Elephas maximus indicus: one gene and its partner. The protein of the gene in region 1 purifies or fractionates together with the protein of each later gene. This does not show direct contact. Links are inferred from orthologs where the notes say so. Each region holds a gene or a part of one and is shown in the gene's direction. Other genes may lie near its edges.

Region 1 (7,118 bases):
GCACCAACCTTTACCGCTGTCATGAGAATGACAAAGGAGGTGGTTCATGAAGGCAATTAGATCTGCAGTCCATTTTTTTCTCTAATTCCTAGGTCCCCTGCTTTTCTGCTGTGATTGCATATTCGTGAAAGAGGGATGGGGTGGACAGTGTCAACAGTGGCTTGAGCCCTGCAGAGATTCACCTGCTCTGGGGAGGCCATGACACCTGACTGAAGAGAGCCGGGCTACAGCTAAAGAAGTAAAGTCAAGAGGAGGACAAGGATGAAAGACAAATGGGGTTACTCAGAGGCTTAGGGGAGCTGAACCTTGCAGAAAAGCCAAACTATGAACTTCTGATGCCAGAAGCAATGCCCTCCCTCCTGCCACAGGGGCACAACTCCACTTTCCCACATCTAGTGGTTATTTTTATGGATGGATTTATTTTTACCCATTCTAGACCTCAGCTCCAAACCTGCTGCTGGAAGCAACAAGGCACTGAGGCTTCTGGGTTTCCAGAAAGCACAGGCTTCAGTGGCTGGCTCACCTCCAGAAATCAGGCTTAAGTCACCCCTGGAGTCACCTTGTCCTACCACCCAAATCCCTCTCTCCTGTCTTCATGGAGGCTGGGGTGGGAATGGAACAGGGGAATTTCTCTTTTCTCACCCCACAACCCCCCAGGCAGAGAAGGGAAAGCAGTGGGCTCTGAGAAAAGGGAAGACCTACAACAACCATGCTGTTGTTGTTAGCTGCCATCAAGTCAACTCTGACCCGTGGCGACCCCGTGCATGCAGATTAGAATTGTGCTTCACAGGGTTTTCAAGGCTGTGATGTTTTGAGAGTAGATTGCCAGGCCTTACTTCAGAGGTACCTCTGGTGGGTTTGAACCATTAACCTTTTGGTTGGTAGTCCAGTGTACCACCTAGGGACTCCTTCCAACTACCTTAGAAGTCACAACCTGGGCTCATCCATGAAACCTAGCCAGAGGAGGTGGGACAGACATTAGGCTTCTTTCAGCAGCGCCTGCCCTGCTGAGCCTGTCTCCCTGAAGCCCAGGGAATTTAAGAAAAGGCTATTGCCTTTCCAATAATGACCAGCTGTCACCTGGCATCACGTCCAGCCCCCACATGCCAGACAGCCAAAGCAGACTTCCCCTTTAGTGGAGCCATACATCTGGCCTGAATTATTATTCCCCCAAGAAAAGTTTATCGAAGAGTTAGGCAATGCCTCCACATACAGCCACTGAAGACAAGCTTAAAATATACTGTAATACATTTAAAGAGCCATTTCGGGGACTGGCTTTCTCATGATAAAGATGCAACCGACACTCACTGGGTGCTAAAATGTCAAGTTGTTGCAATCCAGCAGAGAACATAACAAGCCACTAAATGTGAAGCTCTGTTCAGCTGATTTCTTTCCATTCATTCCCTTGCCTCCCCCAACAATTGATTTTGGTTCGTGAAGTTGACGTTTTGGTGGGACCTACCAAAATCTGAGAAGGTGTCCTTTCTATCCCAACCATCAGTAAAAATGAGGAGAACTCACAAGGCCAGTGCCAAGTTCTTCCACCGAAATGCCCTGGAAGGATAGGACCAGAAAATTGGAGAGAGGGGTGGGGTGCAAATGAGAACAAAACCTCACCGTAGTGTCCTCTAAGTGCCTAGGAACAGGGCAGTGGTGGCCCAGAGGTAGAATTCTTGCCTTTCACAGGGGGAGACGCGGGTTAGATTTCTTACCACTCGTCTGTCAGTGGAGGCTTGTATGTTACTATGATGCTGAACAGGTTTCAGCAGAGCTGAACTAGACTAGGACAGACTAGGAAGAAAGGCCTGGTAATCTACTTCTGAAAATCAGCCAGGGGAACACTATGGATCACAATGATCCAATTTGCAACTAACCATGGGGATGGTGCAGGACTGGGAAGCATTTTATTCTGTTATGCATGAGGTCACCGTGAGTCAGGAGCAGACTTGACAGCAGCTAACAACAATGATAAGTGCCTAGGAGGGCAAGAACTTCAAATCCTAGGAAAAAAGAACTGCTTGAGAAAATCCCATGGATGGTTTCCATAGATGTTGTTGCTGTTAGGTGCTATCAAGTTGGTTCCGACTCACAGCAACCCTGTGCACAACAGAAAGAAACACTGCCCAATCCTGCGCCACCCTCACAATCATTGCTACGCTTGAGCCCATTTTTGCAGCCACTGTGTCACTCCATCTCATTGAGGGCCTTCCTCTTTGTAGCTGATCCTTTACTTTACCAAGCACGACGTCCTTCTCCAGGGACTGGTCCCTCCTGATAACATGTCCAAAATAACACGTCCATGAAATGAAGTCTTGCCATCCTCGTTTCTAAGGAGCGTTCTGGCTGGACTTCTTCCAAGACAGATTTGTTCGTGCTTTTGGCAGTCCGTGGTATATTCAATATTCTTTGCCAATACCATAATTTAAAGGCATCAATTTTTCTTCAGTCTTCCTTATTCATTATCCAGCTTTCATGTGTCTTTGAGGCAACTGAAAACACCATGGCGTGAATCAGGTGCACCTTAGTCTTCAAAGTGACCCCTTTGCTTTTTAACACTTTAAGGAGGTCTTTTGCGTCAGATTTGCCCAATGCAATGCATTGTTTGATTTCTTGACTGCTGTTTTCATGGGCTTTGATTGTGGATCCAAGTAAAACAAAATCCTTGACAACTTCAATATTTTCTGTTTATCATGATGTTGCTTATCGGTCCGGTTGTGAGGATTTTTCTTAGAAAATTGGGAAGGGTGCTGACTGGCAGAATCCAAACCCTTGGGTTTCATTCACAACTCTGTTTCTCCATGTGCACAGTGAAATGGCCAGAAGGCTCTGTGTTCTGGGGAAGGGAAGGCTGCAAAGGAGGACAGGTGTTGTGTGAGGTGTTGGGTTAGGATGTTTGGATTAAAGAGGCCTTCTCCCAAACCTCTGTTAAGAAGGTTGGGAAGTTGTAGTCAGTAACCTTCTTCACAGCAGAATTTGCAGCTATAACCTATGAGGTGTGGGTTAACCTGCCTCCCATAGTCATGTAAATGTGAGTGAGCTTGTGTGCTGAGGTGGGTGTGGGAATCTATCAGTCAATGAAGCCGTGTTGTGCGAACCAGCTGATGGTGCATGTTTGTACTTGAAAGCCATAAAGTTCTATGCAAAATCTATGGGTGGCACTGTTGCACAATGCTGGTGGGGGTGTGAGTTTGGCGGTGGGATTACCTTTGTAGGCTGTATGCGAGTGCGCATGGATGTCTGAAATGTGTGCCACAGGACTGCAGAAAAGTACATGGGCTTGGGAGTCAGCCTGATTTGGCCTTAACTCCTGGTTCTGTCATTAACTAGATGTGTAAACTTGGGCGAATCACTGGGTCCTTATTTTCCTCACCCACAAAATGAGAACAATAATAAATATCTTTCAAGATTGCCGTGAGGATTAGAAACCATACCACATATACAAAGCTTCTGGTGTCCTAGGTGGCACATCGTAGGACTCAGGGTAGGCAGCTATTATCACCCACCCTATATGGCCTCTGGTGCGTACAGAAGCAAGAGAGGGCAAAATGCCACCCAGGAATCTGTGTGTGAAATCTGGTGGAGAAGGTTTGTACCAAGGTGTGTACATAAACAAAGCTACACACACACACACACACAGAGTGCAATTCCTTCTTCCACTCCAGGAGTCCCTATTCAGAGGGGCGGGAGGGTGGGAGATAAAAGTCTCCGCAGATTCTTTGGGTTTCTAGGCTTCTGGGTCCCGAGTCTAAGCCAGTAAGAAGTTGAGAGGCTGGTAGGAGCTGCAGGAAGCCAACCGCCTGCAGAAGCTTCCTTTTTTTCCCTCCACCCAGCAACGGTTGAATACCGCCACCCATATCCACTCCCCACCTTCCCCCCCCACCCCCCCACCCCCGACTCTGCTTTCTTTTCAACAAGTGAGAGTAAGGGCGGGGAGGAAACCCGAGTGAGAAGGGGATTCCTCCGGTTCCCTTCCCCATTCCCCCTTAAGACACACCAGGAAGCAGCCGCAGCGCGCGGTCGGGCCACCTTAACAGCGGAGTGATGGTCTGGCCTGGCGCCAAGTCCCACCTCGGTTCCAGCTCCGGCTCCTCCCCTTGCTCCGCCCGCACTGCTCCGGGGAGCTGGTGAGCGAGGGTCTGGCCGGAGTTGGCAGGAGCTGTTGCCATGACAAGCATTTTCTTAAGAAAGCTCTGCTGTTGAGGCCATCCAAATCTAGGGACTGGGGGTGGGGGGGGCGCCAACTTCCTGGGGAACCATCCCTCCAAGGAGAGCAAGATCAAAGACACCCGCCCAGCTCTCCCGAACCCTTTTTCTTCCAGGGACCTGAGAGGTCTTTCCCTTTGGAAGGGCCGAGGAGGAAACCCAGCCCACTCCCCGGATCTGGCAAGAAAGGCCAGAAAGCAAAGCCAGCGTCGCTAGAGCGGTTGCCACAGTGGGGAGGCCGGCGGGTGGTCACCGTCACCCTATCCCGGTCCATGGTGACCCGGAGGGAGAGCCCCGCTCGGAGAAGCCCGGATCCTTGCTAGAAAGAGGTAGGCTTGCTTGGAATGAATTGACTCTTGATTTGCAAACTTTCTTTCTTTCTTTTGAATCGTTTTAAAACTCCCTGAATTTCTGCTTCCGAGCATATTTTATGTGACTGGGTTTGGAGATTTGGGGGGATTTTTTCCGTGTGTGCCTGTGAACAGATTTGTCAAATATTTCTTTCCTGGACTTGGTTCTGAGAAATCACATAATCAAACAAGTGATTTCTTTTGTTTTTCCTGGTTCTTGTCATTCCTGGGCTGTGGGGGTTAGGGAAACGACAGGACTGTTCTGACACCCAAATTGAGCTCTTAGAAAAGCATTTATTTCTCCCGTCCGTTCCTGTCCTCCGCCTCCCCCTTGGCTTGGGAATCAGACGCAGAATGGAAAACTGTTGCAAAAATATTTTCCGTGTCTGTTCTCTTTCTCGAAAGCCCCAAAGAGAGATGGAAAAAAAAAAAAAAAAAAAAAAGAACCAAGTAAGAAATCTTCAGCAGGAAGGAGGGGCTGCAGTGGGGACTGGAAAAGGGGTGCCCTGGGGGGGGGCTAAGAGAGGCGCACAATGGGAAGGGGGGTGCACAAAATAAATTTCTTTGGCTTTGCGGAGAAACCTCGGCGTTTTCTCTCTGCCTCTTGAAAACATCCTCAGACTTTCACGGCTATAATTAGCTGTGGAAAAAAGCTAGGAGTTCCCTAGTACCGCTGTTGTTTGAGTGTGTGCCAGCGTCGGGAACCAACTGTATGAGTGTGTCTGAAGGGCACCACCCCACACATCTCGGGTCCCAAAAGGGAGGAAGAAGGGGTGAAGTTGGAAAGTTTGCGATGTCAAGGCCGGTGACCTGGGGCTGGTGAGGGCTTGCCGTTTGGGGGTTGCCGAGAGGCATCCTCGGGGAAGTCGGGGTGGGGGGAGTCCCTGAAGCGTCTTGGGCCTCAGTGTTGTTTTGCTGAGGAGCTAGAAACTAAGGCCGGAATTGTCCCTCCTGCCCTTCGTTCTCACACACACACCACAGTCTCACACACTCACATCCTAGGCCCACTCCCGGCGGAGGATCCCGGCTGGCACCCTCCTTGCAGCGAGTCCAGCCTCACACGCGCCATCGCGCCAAGGCACCCACTGCTCTTCTCCAGCGGGATGTGGAGGGCCCGGGAGTGGCAGCGGCCGCCGCATCCTGGGAGAGGAGTGGGCACTCTGTTAGCCAGAGGCGCCTCCCTCCTGGGCATTCCTGCAGGACTTACAATAACTTGCAGACAAGATGCTGGCGCTGCTGGCCTAGTAGGGGGAATGTCAGATGAAGAAATAGGCGGGCACTCAACCGACGCCGCTGGGGGGAAGGGAAAAAGGGGTAGGGAGGGAGGGAAAATAAAATCCGGTTCCACAGCGCCATCTCCTCTTCTGGGTGGGGTGCCACTCTCTCTTTGAGCCCCTCCCCAGAGCGGCCCCTTCTCTCTGCCCTTCTCGTTTGGATGACCCCCCTCCAGCCCCTCACTTCTGGGCCTTCTTTACCTGGAAGGAAGAGATCAGGGGGGTATTCCAGGCTGGGACGGCGGTGGAGAGAGGCCTTGGGGTAGGGAAGGGCTGGATGGAGAGGACCTTAGGAGGAAGGGGGCTGGCAGAGGTGGTGGCTAGTGAGCCCACTGACCCTCCTTGGCTGTGGATGGTGGCTTCGGGGGGCTGGCTCTGGAGGGGTGGTGGCAGCTTGGTGGACAGGTGGTCTGGAAGGTGACTCCTGTCCCTGAAGCAGGCAAATCTGTGGGCAGCGGGCTGGGGGAGAGGAAACACCTGCCCTCAGCCCCAACTAGAGAAACTGGGGAGGAAGGAAGCAAAAGACCAGGAGAGCTTAAATGGGGGACAGGAAGCAACAGGAACCACTTTTCATTTTGAGGTGTTGGAGTATTGATCTGGCTGCACCCCAAGGCTAGATGGCTTCTCCCTGCCTGTGTTCTGTTCCAGAAGGTAATGAGGCCTTCTCCAGTGCTAAGAGGTCACAAGCCATAATCAGTGCCCTTCCTCTGTAGGAAGGGGGCCCAAGGAATCCATTTCTTTGCTACTTATCCAGGAGCCCCATCCTCCTTTCCACCATCTTGCTGAGGTGCAACCCCGAAATCAGGCCGCACCGTGCCCTTCCTTGTGCCCTTCAGTGTGCCCTTGCGTCTTGGGGGTACTGAATCTCACCATTCGGGCAGCAGGCCTATTTTCAGTATTCTGACTTGGAGCGGATCCTTTTGGGGGAGGGCTTCTGCCTGCAGGTTCCGATTTAGCGCCCACCTTGGCGCCAGCTCCACGACCTGGTGTCCTGGGTAGGGGGCAGCGGTGGAGCCTGCTCTCTGCAGCCCCAGCCGGTCTCGCGGGTGCTCCAGGGCAGGGATCGATACTGCAGCAAGCCCGCGGACCCCTCCCCTCTGGGCTGCCTCGCCGCCCCGCCTCGCCCCACCCCGCTCCGCCGTCAGCCTCTCCCGCAGCTCGGCTCCACCCTCCCCGGGTCTGCCGTAATCTAAGTACTCGGTGGAGAAGATGCTAGTGCTGCAGGAGCGGGGGTTTGCTGCCGTCCAGACCCTGCTAAGGCTCAGTCACTTCCCCTTCCACTTACCACCTC
Region 2 (8,017 bases), on another chromosome or scaffold:
CAGAGATCTCTTGCAGCCGATTTGCCCAGTGCAATGCATCTTTTGATTTCTTGACTGCTGCTTCCATGGGTATTGATTGTGGATCCAAGTAAAATGAAATCCTTGACAACCTCAATCTTTTCTCTGTTTATCATGATGTTGCTCATTGGTCCAGTTGTGACGATTTTTGTTTTCTTTGTGTCGAGGTGTAATCCATACTCAAGGCTGTATGTAGTCTTCGATCTTCATCAGTAAGTGATTCAAGTCCTCTTCACTTTCAGCAAGCAATGTTGTATCATCTGCATAATGCAGGCTGTTAATGAGTCTTCCTCCAATCCTGATGCCTGGTTCTTCTTCACATAGTCCAGCTTCTCGGATTATTTGCTCAGCATACAGATTGAATAGGTATGATGAAAGGATACAACCCTGATACACACCTTCCCTGACTTTAAACCATGTAGTATCCCCTTGTTCTGTTTCAACGGCTACCTCTTGATCCAGGTACAGATTCCTCATGAGCACAATTAAGTGTTCCGGAATTCCTGTTCTCCAAATGTTATCCATAATTTGTTATAATCCACACAGTCGGATTCCTTTGCATAGTCAGTAAAATACAGGTAAACATCTTTCTGGTATTCTCTGCTTTTAGCCAGGATCCATCTGACATCAGCAATGCTATCCCTGGTTCCTCGTCTTCTTCTGAATCTGGCTTGAATTTCTGGCAGTTTCCTGTCATACTGCGGCAGTTGCCTGGGGCCATGCTCTCGGGGGTTTCTCTAGTCTCTGTCAGGCCAGTAAGTCCGGTCTTTTTTTGTGAGTTAGAATTTTGTTCTACATTTTTCTCCAGCTCTGCCCGGGACCCTCTACTGTGATCCCTGTCAGAACAGTCAGTGGTGGTAGCTGGGCACCGTCTAGTTGTACTGGACTCAGTCTGGTGAGGGCTGTGGTAGTTGTGGTGCGTTAGTCCTTTGGACTGATCTTTCCCTTGTATCTTTACTTTTCTTCATTCTCCCTTGCTCCCGAAGGGGTGAGACCAGTGGAGTATCTTAGACGGCCACTCACAGGGGTTTTTTTTTTTTGGAGGGTGGGTTGACATCATTTATCAAAATGTAAAGGTCATTTATTGAGTCCACATCTAGAATTTATCCTGTAGACATACCGTATGCAAAACCTAAGTACAGAAATTATTGTTTCTAATATGGAAAAATTAGAAATAACCTTCTGAACAAGTACTGAGTTGAGAGACCTTCATATTCATTCCTGGAATTGATGAATTTTTTTCTGTTTTAAATAAGAAAAGTAGTGGTTCAAAAAGTAAAGAGGTACAGTTAGATGTATTGAATTGGAAAGATGCTAGCAATATTATCACGAGGGAAAGTGTAAATGGAGTTAGGAGAGTAGCAGTTGGGTGGATTCCTTTTTTTTTTTTTTGATTGCACTTTAGATGAAGGTTTACAGAACAAACTAATTTCTCATTAAACAGCTAGTACACATACTGTTTTATGACATTGGTTAACAAACTCACAACATGTCAACACTCTCCCTTCTGACCTTGGGTTCACTATTACCAGTTTTCCTGTCCCCTTCTGCCTGCTAGTCCTTGTGCCTGGGCTGTTGTCTCACAGGCTCTTAAGATCCCAGATGCTATCCACCAAAGTAGAATGTAGAACATTTTCTTTATAAACTATGTTATGCCAATTGAGCTAGATATTCTCCGAGACCATGGTCCCCACAGCCCTCGGCCTAGCAATTCAGTCCCTCAGGGAGTTTGGATGTATCTATGGAGCTTCTGTGACCTTGCCTTGAACTAGTCGTGCTGGTTTCCCCAGTATTGGACCACAGAGATTTTTAAGTGTATGTAAATATTAAAAGAAAAAAAAATCCAAATTCCTTTATAAAGAAATAACTGAATTATTGGAAAGTTTTATTTAATCATGTATTTTTTTTTTCCAACAAAAGGGTACTTAAAGTACAACTACTGTAACACGGGGTTTGATAACATCTTCTCCATGGGTAAAAAGGGTTGGTCATGACTGCAGGCTCTGAGAGTTTGTTGGTAACACCTGTGCTTCAAAAGTTCTTCCCAAATCATTTTTGGAAGATGCATCAAGTAGTCGATAGGACATAGGGCTGGGGTGAGAACTGTAGCAGCAGCAGTAGTAATGGTATTTATCACCATCATCAACATTTGAGTGTTTTCTATGTACCAGACACTGTTCTAAACACTGTACATAAATTCACTCATCTATTCCACTTATGGGAGCCCTGGCGGTGCAGTGGTTAAGAGCTTGGCTACTAACCAAAAACAGTTCGAATTTACCAGCTGCTCCTTGAAAACCCTACAGGGCAGTTCTACTCTGTCCTATAGGGTTGCTATGAGTCAGAATTGACTCAACAGCAACAGGTTTGGTTTTGGTTTTTTATTCCACTTACAATCTTATGAGGTAGGTACTATCATTTGTCCCATTTGACAGATAATTAAAATTAGGTCCAGGGAGATGAGGTCACTTGCCCAAGATCACCCAGCTAGTAGAAGGTGGTGGCAGTGGTGTGTTTATGTAACTTGGGTTTCATTTTTCCCCTAACCAGAATAGTACAGGTTATGCAATCAGAGCAAATATCCCTATATCTCTGCTTAATTCAACAAACCAAACCAAAAAACCCAACCCGTTGCCATTGAGTTGAATCTGACTCACAGCAACTCTACAGTGGTACCTCTCTAATGTGGGTTGGCAGAAGGCTTGGCTCACTGTGCTAACTCAGGAATCCCCAATGACATAAGCTTCATTTTTTTTTTAAATAATTTTTATTGTGTTTTAACTGAAAGTTTACAAATCAAGTCAGTCTCTCACGCAAAAACCCATATACACCTTGCCACACCCTCCCAATTACTCTCCCCCTAATGAGACAGCCTGCTCTCTCCCTCCACTCTCTCTTTTTCATGTCCATTTCGCCAGCTTCTAACCCCCTCCACCCTCTCATCTCCCCTCCAGGCAGGAGATGCCAACATAGTCTCAAGTGTCCACCTGATCCAAGAAGCTCACTCCTCACCAGCGTCCCTCTCCAACTCATCATGAGCTTCATTTTCACACGTGTTTTCACCCTCGCTTTCACTGATCACCATGCAGGCAAAAGAGCATGCTAGTGTCTGCACTGGAAGTGAAAAGCTTTCTCGTGAAAGTGTTGCATGTTCCTTCTCACATTTCATTGACCAGAGCAAGTCACATGCCCCTCCCAACTTCGAAGGGGCAAAGAAATCTTACCATGAGCCTAGAAGGATGCAAACAAAACTATTTGCCATTCACGATTACCACAAACACTCTGTGACCCTGGGCAGGTCATATCCTCTCTCGACCTCAGTTTCCTTACCCACAAAATGAGCACAACAATCCCTGCTTTGCTCACCCTCTACTTTTGTTATAAGGATCAAATAGGGATGTTTGCTGTGGTCATTGTGGTTGCACCCAGCCAAAGTTTTCATCAAATGAAAATCTGGGTCCTGTTACCACCAGCCCTGTAGTTCTCTGTACAGGGCTGTTTGTGGACTAGCCTTTGTCCAAAGATACATGCCCACCTCTTACTCACACACCTGGGGTCTTGAAGCATATAGTTTTCACTTAATCAACAAAACAGTATAATTGTCCTGGCCCTTGCTAGAAAGCTCATTTAAAAATGTCCAGCTATCTAGTTCCTGTTGAATACTCCAGACCACTTTGACTTGAGAGAGACTGCAGGGCCCACAGCGAGCACTCCTTCCTCCAGGTTCCCAAGCTCTCTCTTTCAATCAAGTCAGGTCCTCATGACTGTTTATTTGGCCCCTCGCAGTTTCACTCCAGGCACTCCCAAGATGCCTGCTCTGAGTCAGGAATGAACTAAGCCACAGAAACTCCTTTGCCAATCAGGGACCGAGCACGCTGAAAGTAATACAAGAATTGCCCATATGAAGAGCTTTCCCCAAACTTCAGGGGAAACAGTAGCGATCGCTTAACAAATCAACCTCCAGAGCGCTTTGCTGACTCCTTTCCTTTGGGTGGTTTTGCTACGCGGTCATTTGCCCCTCGTTCACTCCTCCGATAGACTAGGTTTGAACTCCGTTAGGGTGGGGCCCTCTTTTCATCTGGGTTCCACATGTCAATACATGTCCGTTGCATTACAACGCTTCTAAAGAGTCCTCATACAAGTTAATACTTAACTTCCTTGTAGAATTTAATGTTTATGACGTGCAATTAGTTTAGTTGAACTTTCAGACCCCTTCGGGCCTTGAGATTCTATGAACTAAAATAAAGCCAATATAGACGGGTGGGGGTGGGGGGGAGGAATGGGAAACGACCGAAAAGGAGGCCATTTCAGGCAGAGGCAGCAGATGTGGAGGCAGGAGAGCACAAGATAATACCGGGCAAAGGGAGCACATCACCTTGCCTGAAAGGGAAAAACACGAAATGCGAGAGAGGTTGGGGCCAGATACCAGTAGGGCGTCTGTGTTCAAAGTTCAGGGTCAAAACATAGCAGGACTCTCACAGGGGACCACGAACGGATCAGATTGGTAGCCAAGAGCTCTAACAAATGGAAGACACGATGTGTGCAGAAAATATATTGTGTTCCTAAAGCAACCTCTTATTTCGTAGCGCTCCGGTTAAACTGATCACAAACTTCTCGCTTTCTCTGCGCCAGGACAGCGGGCGAAGCCCCGCCTCCCCTCGTCACGTGGCCGCGCGCCCTCAGCACGTGACCTACCTCTCACTAGGCCAATCAGCCTCTGCAGGGGCGGGGCGCGGAGTCCAAAGGGCGGGAGCATTAGTCGAGGCCGTTTCTTCTCGCGATCCTTGCAGCCGTCGCTCATCAGCCGCCCACGGCCGGGCGCCAAGGTCTCGCGAGGCTTGGGCGCTGCGGCGGTTGGAGGAGGACGGGGAAGGACGGAGCCGAGCCGCGGTTGCTTCCCTCGCTGACTCCCTCGCGCAATTGCCCGCCCCCTCCCTCCCTCCCCTCCCTTCCCCGGCCCCGGCTCCGGCCCCGGCCTATTCGCTGTTCCGTCTGCTGCTAGGGAGAATGTCGGGCTCCTCGCTCCCCAGCGCCCTGGCCCTCTCGCTGTTGCTGGTCTCCGGCTCCCTCCTCCCAGGGCCTGGCGCCGCTCAGAACGGTAAGCGGGGCGCCGGGGGCGGGTCGGGCGGGGGCCGAGGGCGCCGGCGGCTGCGAAGGGCCCGTCCGGGGCCGGAGGAGGTGCGGAGCCAGGGGAAGAGCCTGAGGGCTGCGGGTCGGAGAGGAGATGCCGGTCGGCGTTGTGTGCGGACAGGAGGCGCCTGTCCGAGGGGAGGGGGCGTCCGACATGAGCCCGAGGTGTTGCCGACTTAGACCTGTGCATCGTGGGGCTCGTCGCTCCACGTCGGGGAGGGGACACCGAAGAAGCCCTGTGAGGAGCCGGAGTAGCGGGGGCGGCTGGGGAGGGGGCGCAGCTTTTAAATAAGGCGGCAGAAGACAGGCATTTGTGTTCACAGGCGAAGGGAGGGGGTGTCGGTTAGGCTTCCCGAGAGAACTGGGGTCCCGGGAGCGGGGGTCCCGGGAGCGGGGGTCGTCGAGGACTCTCCTGACGCTCGTAAGTCTCTTGACAGGATTCAAAATAAGGGAGGGCGAGCAGAGTACTAGAGCCCTAAGGAGGGGTAGAGAATCAGGGGACCTTGGATATGGGGGTGGAGGGAAGGTGGGTGGAAAGCTGAGGGAGTGGGGTGACTGCAGTAGAGGACCTGGGAAGAAAAGCAGCGGTGGCTTTAAGCGACATGGGAGGGAGAGGGCTGGATTTGCTAAGAAGGGCGGAGTGCTGGACATTCTAGGGTAGTGGTTGGAAGGGGTTCCTAAATAAGGAGAGGAAAGAGGTTGGGGAGAAAGGGTTGAAACTAAAGTAGAAAAAAAAAAAAAAGTAGGGGGAATATTTATTAGAGACCTGAAGGTGCCGGGGTATAGAGATGGGGGGGGGGGAGAGACAAAAAATAAGGGAAGGGAGTAAAATGCAGGAAGCCGGGGGTGTAGTGTTGGTTTGCAGTGGGGAGGATATGTGAGCGAAGGGAGGAGCTGGCTTGTGGCAAGTGCTGTATGATACTGGTTGGGCCTCCGGGACGGCAGGGACACTTCGCTGAAACTGCAGTGGTGGGATTGAGGGCAGTTGGCTGGTCAGAGGGTGGTGGAGGAAGTGGGTTTTTGAGATCTGAAAAGTTTCAAGACAGACATTATTTCCGAGGAGCATGAAAGTAGTCCTTGTAATGTGTGCAGTGGAAAAGAGAGAATTGAATTTTGAAATGTAGCTCTTTGGAGAAGATGGAGAAATGGTGGGGAATCGTGGTGATGGGGGACCTAGGCAATAGATTCTGATTGAAGGCGTGAGTTACAATTCAGCGGCTTCTTTGATCTTTCACAGGTGAGACTAGACAGCCATTAAGCGGTTTAAAAAATATTTTTATAGGAAAGAATGTATGAGAAGTCAGTACTGGAGAATGAACCATAATTATTTTTGCTAATCTTTCAGTGTTTTTTCATTGTTGTGTTAGAACAATTTAAAATTACTGTTAGAATAGCTGGAATTTAAATGATTTTCATTTTATTTTATTTTTTTTTAAATCGATGATAGAGCCAGTGGAGTCGAACGTTCTAAGGAGAAACTGGGCTTAAAATGCTGAAGAGTACCATGAAAATATATCAGTGAAATCATTGGTTAAATATAAAAGTGTTCATTTTACCAAATAGAACTAATCAAATATCTTGTGTGCTTCATTGCTTTGGTTTACTCACTGCAGGGGTCAGAAAAGAACTATTTTTCTGTCTGTGGCTTGAATATGCTAAGTATATGAGGTATTTTTCCTGCTTTCCTTCAAAGCACAAGGCTGCTGTGGAGGCAGGGCAGAGTTAGTCTGATAAAAAAAAAAAAAAGATACGTCTTACTATTTTTCATCTGTGCTAACAGGATGTCTTAAAGAAGCCTAATACTAATTCAGCTATTTGATTTGTGAAATACATGGTTTTGTTTTGCACAATAGGTGGGAAATTCTTGATTTCAACATGTTTGATCTCTGCCGGCATAGCTTCTTTCAGTGATTTATAGTACGGTGAAATTATAGTTTCTTAGCAACTAAAGCAAGGTTTTTGGATAGGCCTAAACTCCTCTGGCTGTTTTCAGTGATGTGTGTTCTAAATACAACATAGTACATACAGCCTTTTCCTTGAAATGAGCTTAAATTCAGACACGTGACATGACCGGTGAAGTGAAGCTGAGCCAGTAATTGACCGAAATGAATGTAAATTTAATTCAGGGAAGAAATGGCTACTTTTTGAGTTTGGGTTCATACGTTCGTATAGATAAGGATGCCATTTTAGAGCTTTCTATAACATTTTTTTTTTGACAAGATTCAAGTTTTCAACTGTTAATAGTCTGACCTCATGTCATGGAGTTTGTATTTTCTTACTGTCCTTCGAAAATGGATACCATGTGAAATGTTAGGAGTTTTAGGTTATCTATGTAAAATGATGATTTGAAAAAGAATTTAGGTGTTTCTGGATTGGATATTTGGTAGTTTAGATTGAGTATAGATTTTTATTTTTCCCAAAAAGCCTCTGTTTCGTTATTCCTAAAATGAAGAATTCGGACTAGATGACCTTCACGGTGTCCCTGAGTACATTTTAGAGGTATATTTGCTATTGATTGTACATCTCCTCTTTGGGTGAATGGAAATAAGCAATAGAAGACAAAATCCTGAGTCTCTGACCATTACCACAGAGATTCAGTGCTTTCGTTCGTATAGATTTTGTTTTCCATTCAGACGGTTTAGACTTGTAGGACCACAGTTTCAAGTAAAATCCTTATTTAAGTTGTTGATTTTTGTATGTATCAACAAAAGTGTACTTCATTTTAAAGGATGAAAATTGCCTGAAAAATAACCCTCTTAAGACAGGTTTTAGCTTTAGGCTAAAATTGAAGGAGTGTAAACCAAGCAGTATAATATGGTGATCAAGAGCACAGGCTTTGGGTCTCTGTGTTTGAGTCCCAGCTCTTCTA

What was found.
Region 2: the proteins of ATP2B4 (region 1) and NPTN purify together in Homo sapiens (co-immunoprecipitation; 3 studies listed by BioGRID and IntAct, with this or other methods). This does not show direct contact. The link is inferred for Elephas maximus indicus from reciprocal best matches to the Homo sapiens genes ATP2B4 and NPTN.

Annotation. Positions count from the first base shown.
Region 1 is NC_064836.1:12,759,218-12,766,335, forward strand, and holds the start of ATP2B4 (plasma membrane calcium-transporting ATPase 4), read left to right. Parts: upstream 1-4,114; 5' UTR 4,115-4,532; intron 4,533-7,118. UniProt on the Homo sapiens protein: Calcium/calmodulin-regulated and magnesium-dependent enzyme that catalyzes the hydrolysis of ATP coupled with the transport of calcium out of the cell. By regulating sperm cell calcium homeostasis, may play a role in sperm motility.
Region 2 is NC_064831.1:63,744,979-63,752,995, reverse strand, and holds the start of NPTN (neuroplastin), read left to right. Parts: upstream 1-4,947; 5' UTR 4,948-5,025; coding exon 5,026-5,116; intron 5,117-8,017. UniProt on the Homo sapiens protein: Probable homophilic and heterophilic cell adhesion molecule involved in long term potentiation at hippocampal excitatory synapses through activation of p38MAPK. May also regulate neurite outgrowth by activating the FGFR1 signaling pathway.